Linked DNA regions of Bombyx mori. The protein of the gene in region 2 interacts with the protein of the main gene of each other region in a biochemical or structural test. Links are inferred from orthologs where the notes say so. Each region holds a gene or a part of one and is shown on either strand. Other genes may lie near its edges.

The links.
Region 1: the proteins of merlin (region 2) and protein mahjong form a complex in vitro, tested with the Homo sapiens proteins (3 studies listed by BioGRID, with this or other methods). The link is inferred for Bombyx mori from reciprocal best matches to the Homo sapiens genes NF2 and DCAF1.
Region 3: the proteins of merlin (region 2) and spectrin beta chain form a complex in vitro, tested with the Homo sapiens proteins (2 studies listed by BioGRID and IntAct). The link is inferred for Bombyx mori from reciprocal best matches to the Homo sapiens genes NF2 and SPTBN1.

Annotation. Positions count from the first base shown.
Region 1 is NC_085130.1:15,862,392-15,866,045, forward strand, and holds part of protein mahjong, read right to left. Parts: intron 2,367-3,654; coding exon 2,247-2,366; intron 1,052-2,246; coding exon 960-1,051; intron 1-959. UniProt on the Homo sapiens protein: Acts both as a substrate recognition component of E3 ubiquitin-protein ligase complexes and as an atypical serine/threonine-protein kinase, playing key roles in various processes such as cell cycle, telomerase regulation and histone modification.
Region 2 is NC_085122.1:2,607,199-2,611,606, forward strand, and holds the start of merlin, read right to left. Parts: upstream 2,954-4,408; 5' UTR 2,716-2,953; coding exon 2,629-2,715; intron 1-2,628. Other genes in the region: RRP12-like protein, read left to right, coding at 3,502-3,637, 3,846-4,098. UniProt on the Homo sapiens protein: Probable regulator of the Hippo/SWH (Sav/Wts/Hpo) signaling pathway, a signaling pathway that plays a pivotal role in tumor suppression by restricting proliferation and promoting apoptosis.
Region 3 is NC_085124.1:11,160,275-11,164,671, reverse strand, and holds the start of spectrin beta chain, read left to right. Parts: upstream 1-1,544; 5' UTR 1,545-1,904; intron 1,905-4,397. UniProt on the Homo sapiens protein: Fodrin, which seems to be involved in secretion, interacts with calmodulin in a calcium-dependent manner and is thus candidate for the calcium-dependent movement of the cytoskeleton at the membrane.

The DNA.
Region 1 (3,654 bases), on a different chromosome or scaffold from region 2:
TTAGTAAATAATTGTAAGGTAGCGCCCTCTGTGAATTGATATTTTAATTTCACGTATAATCCTAAATTAAAATTCACTACAAGAGCTTTCATACAGACGTTAGTATTAAAAAATCTCACAGATGGCGCTGTATTAAATAGTATGTATATTTCTGTCTCATTCTTTGCTGGTTTCATCCTACACATTTTTGTATTTGTGTCTCTTGCCTGTCGTTTTTTCCGTTGCATCCGGTTTGAAATCACAACGATTCTAAAGAAGTTTTCACTTCAAAAATTTAAAAATTCGAAATTAAATTTAAATTTTAGCCCAGAAAAGGACAAAGTACACTCTTTCTTGTATCTCTGTTCTCGTTTCTTTTAAATCAACCGCATGCCATTGGGTGTTATCTATGTTTAGCCGATCACTGGTCTAGGTGGTTGTGAGGTGACCACATTAACAATAGACTTGTGATTCGAGATATCCTGTCTCGTTCTCTACAAAACGTATTGACGTATAAGTCTGTCTCTGTCTACATCGTAGCTCAGACGGGAAATTAAGGTAGTTTTACATTTCATTAGCAATCCAATCGCCTCCGACTGCTTAAAGTGGGAACTTAAATCAAATATTAAAAAAAATTACTTCAAAACGTCGTATTCATCAAGGATTCTTTGTTTTATACAACCCGTGTAGACAACATACAGACCATCGGTAGGTGAGTGGTTACCGTCGCCCATGGACGACAGCAGAGCCAAGCCGCTGCCTACCTTTAAGTACACGATCCGCGTTAGAAGAAGGACATGTCATATGAAATCCCGAGAATGTTCAATTAAAAACTTTGCAATTGTGAACACATACCACTACACATAGAGCGAGAGCTTCCATTCCTATTCATATACAGTGCATGACTTAGCGACATGAACGTGCGGGCTCGGAGTGCGCCCCGTCCACCTGCCAACCTCAGCACCACAAGCAATACTCACAGCAGTTCGAACTCCTTCATGTTCCACAGGGCGGAGAGCGGCCTCCAAGGAGTGGTGGCTGACGCTAGCAACAGAAGTCCGTCTCTGCTTGTCTGTGGATGCATATGCATGGATTCATAATTATAAGCATAACTCAGCTCCTGAGAGCAACTACTTTTTTGAAGTGAAACTTCTCTAGGCCCGTTGAGAGTAACATTTAACTCGCGACAAATTCGTTACGGCTAGAGAGAAAAGATACAATTTAGGAAGAGCGAGAGTGAGAGAACAGACGCGAGCCAGGTCGTTTCTCACACATTCTGTTTACGGGCGTTGACCACTAGATGGCTTGTTATTACTTTCTCATTGTTCTTGCAGATGACATTAACATAATATCTTACATTTTATTAATAATGAAAGATTTAAAAAAAACATTTTTCCATTTAATAACATTTTAATATATAATATATTATAGATAAATAGTGAAGAGGTTGTTTTCCTTATACTCGGTGTTTCCCGAGCGCTATGACATGTCCTTCTTCAAACGAGGCTTATGGAGAGTATTAAGCGGTAGGCAGCGGCTTGGCTCTGCCCCTGGCATTGCTGAAGTCCATGGGCGACGGTAACCACTCACCATCAGGTGGGCCGTATGCCCGTCTGCCTACAAAGGGAATAAAAAAAAAAAAAAAAACTTCATCTTTAAAGTCACAAATTTATTAAAGTTCTCATCTTTCTTCTTCTTTTTCTAAACCTTATCCCGCAAGGTGGGGTCGGCACAGCGAATTTGTCTATTCCATTCTCTTCTATCAGCCGTCATCTCAACACTCACTCCTTTCTCTCTCTCTCTCTCATATCGTCATTCACACACTCCATCCATGTCTTCTTCGGTCGACCTCTTCGCCCTCTACCTCGCGTTGTCATTTCCATACATATCCTCTCTAAGCAAACCGTCTTTAATTCATTAAAAAAGTTTGTTAAAAGTTCTCATCTCTATATTCACAAATATATTAAAGCTCTCATTTCTATAAAGTCACAACTTACTGGTGGTAGGACCTCTTGTGAGTCCGCGCGGGTAGGTACCACCACCCCGTCTGTTTCTGCCGTGAAGAAGTAATGCGTTTCGGTTTGCAGGGTGGGGCAGCCGTTGTAACTATACTGAGACCTTAGAACTTATATCTCAAGGTGGGTGGCGCATTTACGTTGTACCTGTCTATGGGTTCCAGTATCCACTTAACACCAGGTGGGCTGTGAGCTCGTCCACCCATCTAAGTAATAAAAAAATAAAAAATAAAAGAATCACAAAGCACAAACCTGCATATGATAAATGTAAGATTCGTGAACTTGATAAGAGTTCTCTTCGGCCCCCGTGAACAGATTGAACACTCGGATGTCGCCCGAGGAGGTGGCCGCCAGGAGTTGCTGCTGCGTCGGCTGTACAAACGAAATTAACCTTTATTACAATAGACAGACGTATGAATATTAACTGCTCATACATTAGAAGTTCGTGCCTTTTGCCAGCGGGGTGTTTTTTTTTCTTATCTAAGCTGTTGGCCTTGAGAGACCATTTCAGCGTCGCCTTAACTAGTAGGTGAGCTCACGGGTCTCTAACCTGACGCCGTTGCTAACACGAACCCTAGCAAGAGCCGTGCTTCGCAGAATCTACCACCGGATCGGAAACGCGACCCACTGAGACCCGCTCTTACCCACAGAGGTATTAAATTGAATTTAGGGGATGGCCCTTTAAAGCGTCTGCAAAGCAATTCGGCCGACGGAAAGTGTCTGGGAGTATTGGCGACTTATTTTTAAGGATATTGCCTAAAATATACGTAAAAATCAGCTTTCAGAAAATACGTGAAGTAGGTAATGATTTTATGTACCTTGAGTATCTGATACCTGAAAATTGACCGTCTAAGCAAGCTAGCAGGTAGGCATGCATTCTTAGTACATACTAACACTACGCAATCGGCCACATTTCGTTCGTCAGAAAATACGTGACGTCTGGGGGCCATGGGATCTTACTCTATAAGTACGTATTTCATTAGAACAATTGGTACCCGCCTGCGGGATTCGAACACCGTTTCAACGCTACATACGAATGCACCGGACGTCTTATCCTTTAGGCCACGACGACTTTAAAACCGTTACACCGTTCAAATCCTTTTTTAATACGTTTTATTAGCCTCAGACGTATGTATGTAACGGAATCTTTGAACATGATTTTGACCCCCCTTCAAAACATCGGATTAACTCGAAATTTGGTATACTTATTATGGACCGATGACAAATCAATATAAAAAATTGAAAAAAAAAATATTGAAATTCAACTAAAAAAATTGTGTTAGAAAAATGATTAATGTAAAAAAAGCAAGCGTGGGGTGCATGGTTATTAGTAGTTATAAATATTTTATGAACAGATATGAGTAGAAGGGTTATTTTATAATATCCTGAAAAGCATCCCACGCTTTTTTACAATAAAATTTTTTTTTCTTACATTATTTTTAATTCAAATTTATTAAAAGTAGTAGTCCAGCAGTAGTCGAAATTCGACTATAATTAATTGAAATTATAAGTTTCAGCATTATTATGGTCCTATTGTTACAGATTTCGCCAAGACTACACTACAGACAAATACTCGTAATATTAAAGATAAACAATATTAACCTATTCTCAATTTGACCACAGACTTTAAGCATTAACAAAAGTTTGACAATAAACAAAT
Region 2 (4,408 bases):
TCGAAGCGAAACAGCGAACGGATCACCTGAAGCGAAGCGAAGCGAACTGAGAATTTTAACGTGTTTGTAATGTGTTTAAGCGTTTTAAGTGTTGAATACAGTTTTTAAGTTGTACTTTAGTGGAATTTTATTTATCCCGAACCCCAGCGCGTAACAATATTAATAAATCAAATAAATTAAGTTAAAAATTAAGTCAAATAAATTAAATTCCCTTATTAGCAGCTATTTAAAAAACAACGTTCTAAATAATTGTAAGCATTTTAATTAGCAAAACTACGCATCGCCATGTTATCATACAATGGAATTTGAATGATAAGAATAACATGCTAATAGTGTTATTTTGTAAGGAATACATTATCTTCTACAGATATAAAAATGAATATTTGTAGCTTTGTTGTTGTTCGTTTTCTATGTGATGTCAAACACAATTAAACAGAATCTAACCAAACCATAAATCTAAAGGTGGGCGGTGACAGTCACATTTATAATAAATGGGCTTTGGTAAAGATTTAACTTCGGTGAACCGTGATTTAGTCTACTGATTATTAGGGTTAAGGGTGCGTTATCATTTTAATATTATTAAATAATAAAAATTGTAAAAGTAAGAAACAAAACCTTGATCAAGTAACATATCCCTTTTTTAATTTATGTAAAAAAATTCAATGACAAATTATTCAGCCATCTTATTATAGTTTAAAACATAGTTCTTCTGGTTAGAAGTAGATTGTCCTTTTCATTCCATTTGTCTATTCAGCAATAGCAAGGTTATAAATCCTGTTCAGTAAATTTCTTGACTACTCTTAACTATATAACAGCGGTCCCATCCTTCAAACAGGAGCACATCATTGCTAAGTAGCAGAATTAGGGAGGATCATGGTGCCTACTAGATAGGGCCTACAATATGCTCTAATACTACTGTAAACCATGTTATGTTGGTATACAACTAAGGGAACTATACTGGCTGTTCTCTGGTCAATCTTCGAGTTGCCTTTTCTGACACCCACAGAAAGCTTTGATGTGGTGAAATTTTAGGCATGATTTAATTTATTATTACAATTTACCTCTACCATGCAATTAAGGAAATATAATTTACTAATATTAATAAACAATTCAACAATACAATAATGCTCTTATTTATCCTTAATTATAATGTATTTTGTAATTATACTCAATATTTTTACTGTTATTATTTATATACATATAATATATATATATACGCTTTTAATACATATACATTATATAATACAAATATTTTATTCTTTCAATATTAGTGACGACTCTTAACACTAACTTAGAAAGAAAATTCATCAACACTGTCACTAATGTTAGTGATGTTTAGAATGTATTTTCGAATACAATAATGTATAGTAATGTTTGTTTATTAAGTTTTTTTTTATTGCCTAGATGGTTTGACGAGCTCACAGCCCACCTGGTGTTAAGTGGTTACTGGAGCCCATAGACATCTACAACGTAAATGCGCCACCCACCTTGAGATATAAGTTCTAAGTTCTCAGTATAGTTACAACGGCTGCCTCTCCCTTCAAATCGAAACGCATTACTGCTTCACGGTAGAAATAGGCAGGGTGGTGGTACCTACCCGCACGGCCCCACAAGAAGTCCTACCACCAGTAATTACACAAATTATAATTTTGCAGGTATGATTTTTATTACACAATGTTATTCCTTCACTACGGAAGTCAATCGTGAACATTTGTTAAGTATGTATTTCATTAGAAAAATTGGTACCCGCCTGTGGGATTCGAACACCAGTGCATCGCTCAACACAAATGCACTGGACGTCTTATCCTTTAGGCCACGACGACATCAAATCACAGGTCTCTTAGAGTGGAGCTGTTAGCTAGAGCTGCTATTGGCACAATGGCTGAACATATTCTTTTATGTTGAGACTTCATTGTACTATTTCTGATAAAATTTAATCTTTGACATTCAGTTGAGTGATAACTCATGTTATAATGTCAAAGGAACTCATTAATCTTCACACAAAATATACAGCATTTACAATGTTAAGTATAGTAGAAACTTCTTTGTTAAAAAAATTATATACATCCAAATATATGTGATATTCAAGTTTACATATTTAGCTTGCTTTTAAAAACTGTCTAAAGTTACACATTCTAAAGATATTTATTATAATTAATATAAAATGACTTCTGTTTTTACACTCTTTAATTTTTAAAATTACATTAGTGTTTCTAATATTTAGGAAATGAAAACATTAATCCAAACAAACTTTTTAATTAAATTTCTGAATATTATATTTCTATGTTTTTTAATCAAATCATTTTAAAAGAAATCATCATCATGAAGAAATTTCAAAACTTAAATATTTAACGCGAGCAACCTTACATACATGGTAAAAATTTAAAGATAATTATTATTTATAATGACATTTTTATTAAGCAATGTGGTCAAACAGATAAGAGTCATAGAAGATATGATCATTATACCCTCAACATACAAAGTACTTGCAATGTTCATTAATATCATCAATTAACAAGTGCAGGGCGCCTCCGCATGACTCATAATACGATCGGATGAATACTTAGTACCTACTAAATGGAAATAGTGTAAACAAAAAGGTTTACCACAACAGAAAATACAGTTTACCTCGAGGTTGAACTCCAATTCAGCATCCAATGTGCATACTTTAACTGGAAAAGATTTAGCAGCTTTCTTCCTCCGGAAGGGCGGCATTATTCTTATATCATTTCTCGTTTACAAGAATCACGAAACACCACCGAGGTTATGAATTTTCAACTAGCATTTAACTAATTACACGGCAACGTCTCCCGTTTACGTAATGAACACTCGATAAAGGAATGCGTGTAATTTCACATTGCGTACTATTTCCAGCGGTTATTATTTACAAACAAGAAAAACGTCAATGAAACAAGCAATGCGAAGGTGAATGAAAAACCTATTGAAAGGTAAACGTTCCATTCTACTTTAAAATACATCGGACTGGTCATTGAAATGAAGTTTAGGTCACGTATAACGAAACGTAATATGGATTTGAAAAATGAAAGAAAAAATCGGACAATGGGTTCAATGAAGTGATATTAGTTTAATAAAATGTTGCGGTTGATTCCTGAACTGAAATAGTTTATTTTAATATTATTATTTTTTAGATATTTAATTAATCTAATATTTTTTAAGTAATGTTTTTATTCCGTAGTTTACCTAACTCTAAACTTCAGCTCTCGACCCCGATTAGATGTGATCCACAGTATTTCTAACTACTCTTAAATCTAATTGAAACAGTTTTACTTTGCAGGATAAGACTTGCGTTCATTATCCATTTTGCCTAGAAAGAATGTGTTTGACGTTTGACAGTAATTTGACAACTATTTCATTTTGCTTGCTGCATAGACCTATTTCCTACTTCATTGGCTTGCTGTCATTATTTTCAATCAAAACACTGAACACTTTTTCCCCACGTGTGTTACATCTTTCATTTGCATATTGTTATGAAATACTAAAATGGGTAAATTTAGATCAAAACTTAAAGGCAAAACGAAGGGGAAACGATGGCAGAAAGGACAGTCATCAAATTCGAACCCGAAAATTCAAAAATACAGGGAGATGGCAAAATCCCGGTTTTTTCAGGAAAACTTAGGTATGTTCTCTCTAAAACTTCTCAAAATCATTCGTTATGGAAAAACGGATTTATAAACATCACAAAAAGTTGTTGAACAGTAATTTCAAAGTAAAATTTCCTTATAAAATCATAACCTAGAACATGACTAAATTAACTAATCTCATACTTTTTATGTTAAAATTAAGATAATTTCCTTATAAGTGACTCCTCTAATTAACTTCTACAGGCAGCACTGGCTTAACACAGCAAGCGGTGTCCAAGCATGAAGCTATGATGACATATGGACATAAAACTAACAAAACAAAATCAGATGCTGAAAATGAACTGACCATAGTAAAAGAGCTTGAAAATATGTCGGTCAAGACCGGAGACGAGGGATCAGAGTCTGAATACTCTGGTACATTAAGATCAGGAACATTTAAGACATTTCAAACATTTGCATCTGATTGGAGTCAATGTTCAAATATCAGCTTTCATAAGTAAGTTAAAGTTTAAATAGATATTTTAATTTTATTGCAGTATTTGAGACAGTACCTGAAAACAGGTTTCTATACTCACAATTGCTAATGTGATATTGAAAATAAAATACAAAATGTGGATAATTACTTAAGTAAGCCTTTATATGCACTTTAGTTATGACTTTAAATAGTCATGACTAGGAATTATTTGGAAAACTACTTGGAATAGAAATTATTTGGAATTCAGTGGAATACTGAATTATAATTCTAAGATGAAACTTAGGACATGTTCTTCTTAAAAAAATCTCTTTTAATCTTTTTTCATTTCATA
Region 3 (4,397 bases), on a different chromosome or scaffold from region 2:
GACGGGTTCGACGAGGACGGTGACCGGTGCTTGTGGTGCCTAAGAGCACCGTTAATGGATCAGGAGGATCCGTAATGACGTGCTTTGGGCGACGTCGACGGTTTACCATTCGGTCTACTGGGTCGGGTATGTAATTTCCAGCGGCTACGATGAGAGGGTTCTCATGTCGTGCCGCCTTCTCAAAATGGCGCAGCGATGCCGACTGTAGATACTTACTGACAGAGTCAAGCTCCAGGTCATCGTGGAGATCCACGTTCCTCAGGAACCATGGTGCTCCGACGGCTATCCTGCAGAATCGGGATTGAATAACCTGAAGGGGCTTCAAGTTGGTGCGGGTTAGTTCCATACTTAGAATGGAGAAGCACGAGGAAGATAGCAATCTTCTTTCCACGTACCTACTAATTTAAGGGCCACACGGGCCATTTACTATCCACAAACTACTGCCACTGCCATCTATCGAATTGAAAGGAAAATTTTCAAACTAGTCCATGCTCATCTTTTATAGTCTGTGATAATGTATTGATCTGTGGTCTTTGATGACTGCATAGCAAAGAAAATTAGCGAACATCAATTTATTTGTTTCAAATATGTAAATAAAATTGAAGTTTCTCTAAAGGTTTAGAAAATTTAAAAGCTTTTTTTAACATTTCATTTTATTCAAATCGGTTAACTTTTTAAGTCATAAATTCGTTTTTTTTTCTTTTGCCCCTCACTAAGATATAAGAATGTTGCGATGACATCACTTTCTCAAAGAGTGATTAGAAGAGATTGGATAAAAGATATTTCAGTTAATGCTATTTACAATGTCGTTTAATGGATCAAATAAGTTTATTATTGAAATAATCTAGTTAATTAAATTAAACTATTATAATTAAATTATAATAATTAAATTAAACTAGATTAATTAATATTTAAAAAAAACATCAGATAATGTTTGAAACATTGTTTCTACGGCCCAATATTTTTTTACCAAATAGAAACTCTAAACTGTTGAATTAACGTGTCCCAAAATTTAGATTGAAACAATGGTTATTTTTTAAGACTTCAGTAGACTTTTTGGAAGAACCAAGAAGCCACGTCCAGCGGATTTAATTCATTGTCCCATACTTATGTACTACAACAGATGCTAAACGGTTAATAAGCTAAAAATGTTATACGTTGAAACTTTATGAAACGCTAAATAAATAAACGAAAACAATTTATACAACTTCGTCCTTCGCGTTCCTACTAAAAGTCCTTAGGTCCTGCTTAACTGATAGAGTATGTTTGTGGGGACATAAAATAGGTTTAAGGGACAGAGTTAAGGAGAAGATAAGCCCAGAATATAAAGTACTGCTAAAAATGGAAGATGTTGACTTAATAACTAATCAATAGCTAGAGAATCGGAGACATTCTAGCTAGTAACCGAACAAATTGTTCTTGCGTAAACTCTTTCCCTGACTTCTATAGTCAAAATTTAGTAAATTTACTACCTATGTAACGAACTAAATATACTATTGCTGCTAATATGATAAAATTAATAAATGCACTTCTCGAGCTATTTACTCTGTGATATGGGCGGACCGAAGTTGGTTGGCTTTTGGTTTTCGCCGAATATATTAAGTGTATAATCTATGGTTTTCGCGGTCGGTCTTTCGCTTCGCTCGATGCCGTGTTCGTACTCGTATTCACGGATGATAGTACAAGTCGTTTTTACATGATTAACGGCTACATAAAAGTTTCAGACAAAAAGTGAACTGTGTTATGTCAAAAAACTGTTTTCATAGTGTAAGTGGCGTGGAATCCTATTTATTAGTTCTCAGACGGCTGACCGCCAACTCGCGTATTCTAGTGTATTTAGTGTGCTGACGAATTTTATGTGCTTGACTGTGCTGTAATAGCATACCTTGGACTCGCAGGAGAACGTAAGTTCTAAAACAATTTATATGTAATATCATGTTTTATTCGTAAAACGTTTATTGTCAACGAAATATTATTGAGAATCATTCGAAACAGTTATTTAGGCCAACTCTATTTAAGCCCATTTCTTTTATTTTAATGAAAAATATTCATCTGTAATTTGTACCCAGTACTGTTACTAATTTATTATAATGTTTCATAAACTTCTTAATAGTCAGATGCAATTGAGCTATTTGATAAAGACGCTTCCTTAAATGCCGTTAGTGAAAGCTAGTTATGGAATGTCTGAAGTTGTGTATAATTGGTTAAATTAAAAAAACAAATAATCGAAAAAACTAAATACGCCAATAGCTACCTATCGGTTGTACATTTGAAATTTTTCTAGGTCAAGAGATTAAAATCATATTTACCATCATAAACAAGACATTGGTCATAAACATAGTAATGAAAAATCGGATGGTTCATTACCATTAGTCCACTCTTATAGACATCTGGGTGGATCTCCGTTTACAGAACAAGATAAGAAATCAAAGTGGAACTGTTCCAAACATTCATGCTAGAAAAGTTCAAAATTCAAATATGGAAATAAATCTTCATGAGTAATTAAACAAAAATCAAGTAATTAATTAATAACTACCATTATCATAATTGAATGCATTAAAAATGATTCTAAAATTTGACCTTAATTGTCACCAAAAAGTTTTCCTTAACTAAAATTTAACAGTTTGATTTTCAAGTCGGTTGTTGATTATGTAGGACATCGTTTAATAAATATTGCATCATAACTGCAGTGCACTTAGTGCAGACTAACTGTGAGCAACAATGTGAGAGTGTTGATAAAATTACACTCTTAAGGATAATTTTAAAAATTTATTAAGAAATGTAAAGACAACTATTTGTCACTTGAACTACCTGGGACCTCCCCCAAAGTTCACCACAATGCCGGGTTCAGTGTAGTCTGCATCTAGCAAATTGCCACATCCTTCAATAATCCATACAACCACACACTTTAGAACACACTTTTTGAACTTTTTGGCCCTAGATGCCATCTGTTCTAGAGCCAATGTACCTTCCCAATATGCCAATATAATGTCACTTCAACCTCGTAATAATTGGGCTATATTGGTTATCACAGCTATTCTAGCTATACCTTCATTCTCCATTTAATCTCTCACAGAAATTATCCATTTCAATAAAACAAAAGAGATAATATGAGATTTGTAAAACATCCAACTAATCTTCAGACTGATTAAAAATATTGCTTTGAATGTTGGATAACTTTATTGTGGTGAGCTTCTTTCTTTTGGATCTTTAAAACCACATGCTGTATATATTCAGCTACTAATTTAGGTTTTTTTACATGCCAAAATAGATTAAACCATTTTCTGTTAATGTTTTAAGCTCCTCGCACCAGAGAATGCTCTTTAATATTTGGTAAGTATCTTTTACTGGAGAAATGTTTAATTGAGCTGTCATAGTTGAGTATATACAAGGATTTTGTCCATAGCCTCTAGATCAGAATCAGCGTATATTATATTTAGACAGACATGGCATTATGGTATTATTAATCCTTTGATTGCCGTGTAGGTTGCCAATACCCTACGTGGTGCACTGAAGTTCTTATGTCAATTTCTGTTACTAAGACACTGAAATGTCTAGTAAACTCTGGACAACTATGAATCCGAAGATACTAAGAATGAATCTATTTCAAATAGCCTAAAAGACTAAAATATATATTAAAAACAAAAGTTGACAATCCAGGCACTTGATAACTGTTTCAGTGCTCCAGATAGAGCACCAGTGACTTACATGCCAGTCAAAGGGTTCAGGGATCCCATTTGTCTCTACCATTTCATTAAAATTTTAATAATAATTATGTAATTGAAAATATATAAATTTCAAAATAAAAAATGGTTCGGTCGCATTCAGTAAATTAAAAAATGTGTTCCCGTCCAAAATCGCTCAGTGCCTTAAGAAACAGGTGTAAACTAATGTGTTTTACTAGTGATGACTTACGGTTCCAAGATGTGGTGCTTCACAAGGGATATTTGTAGGAAGCTTAGGGTCGCGCAGCGAGCTATGAAGAGGGCTATGCTTGGTATTACTCTACGAGACTGAATCAGAAATGAGATCTGTAGAAAAGCCAAAGTTGCTGACATAGCCTCTAGGATTAGCAAGCTGAAGTGGCAGTGGGCAGGCCACATAGCGCGGAAATTGAACGGCCATTGGGGTGGAAAAATCCTCGAGTGGAGACCACATACTGGCAAATGCAGTGTGGGACGGCCACCTAACAGATGGATCGACGACTGGTGAGAATCGCTAGGTCACGTAGAATACAGGTGGCAATGAACCAGCCGCACTGGAGATTGGTTGGAGAGGCCTATGTTCAGCAGTGGACAGTGAACAGGCTGAGATGATGATGATGTCAATTTTACTTATGTAATGTTTCGATGGTTAATATTACCTGGCTAGACTATACCTAATAATATAATATAATT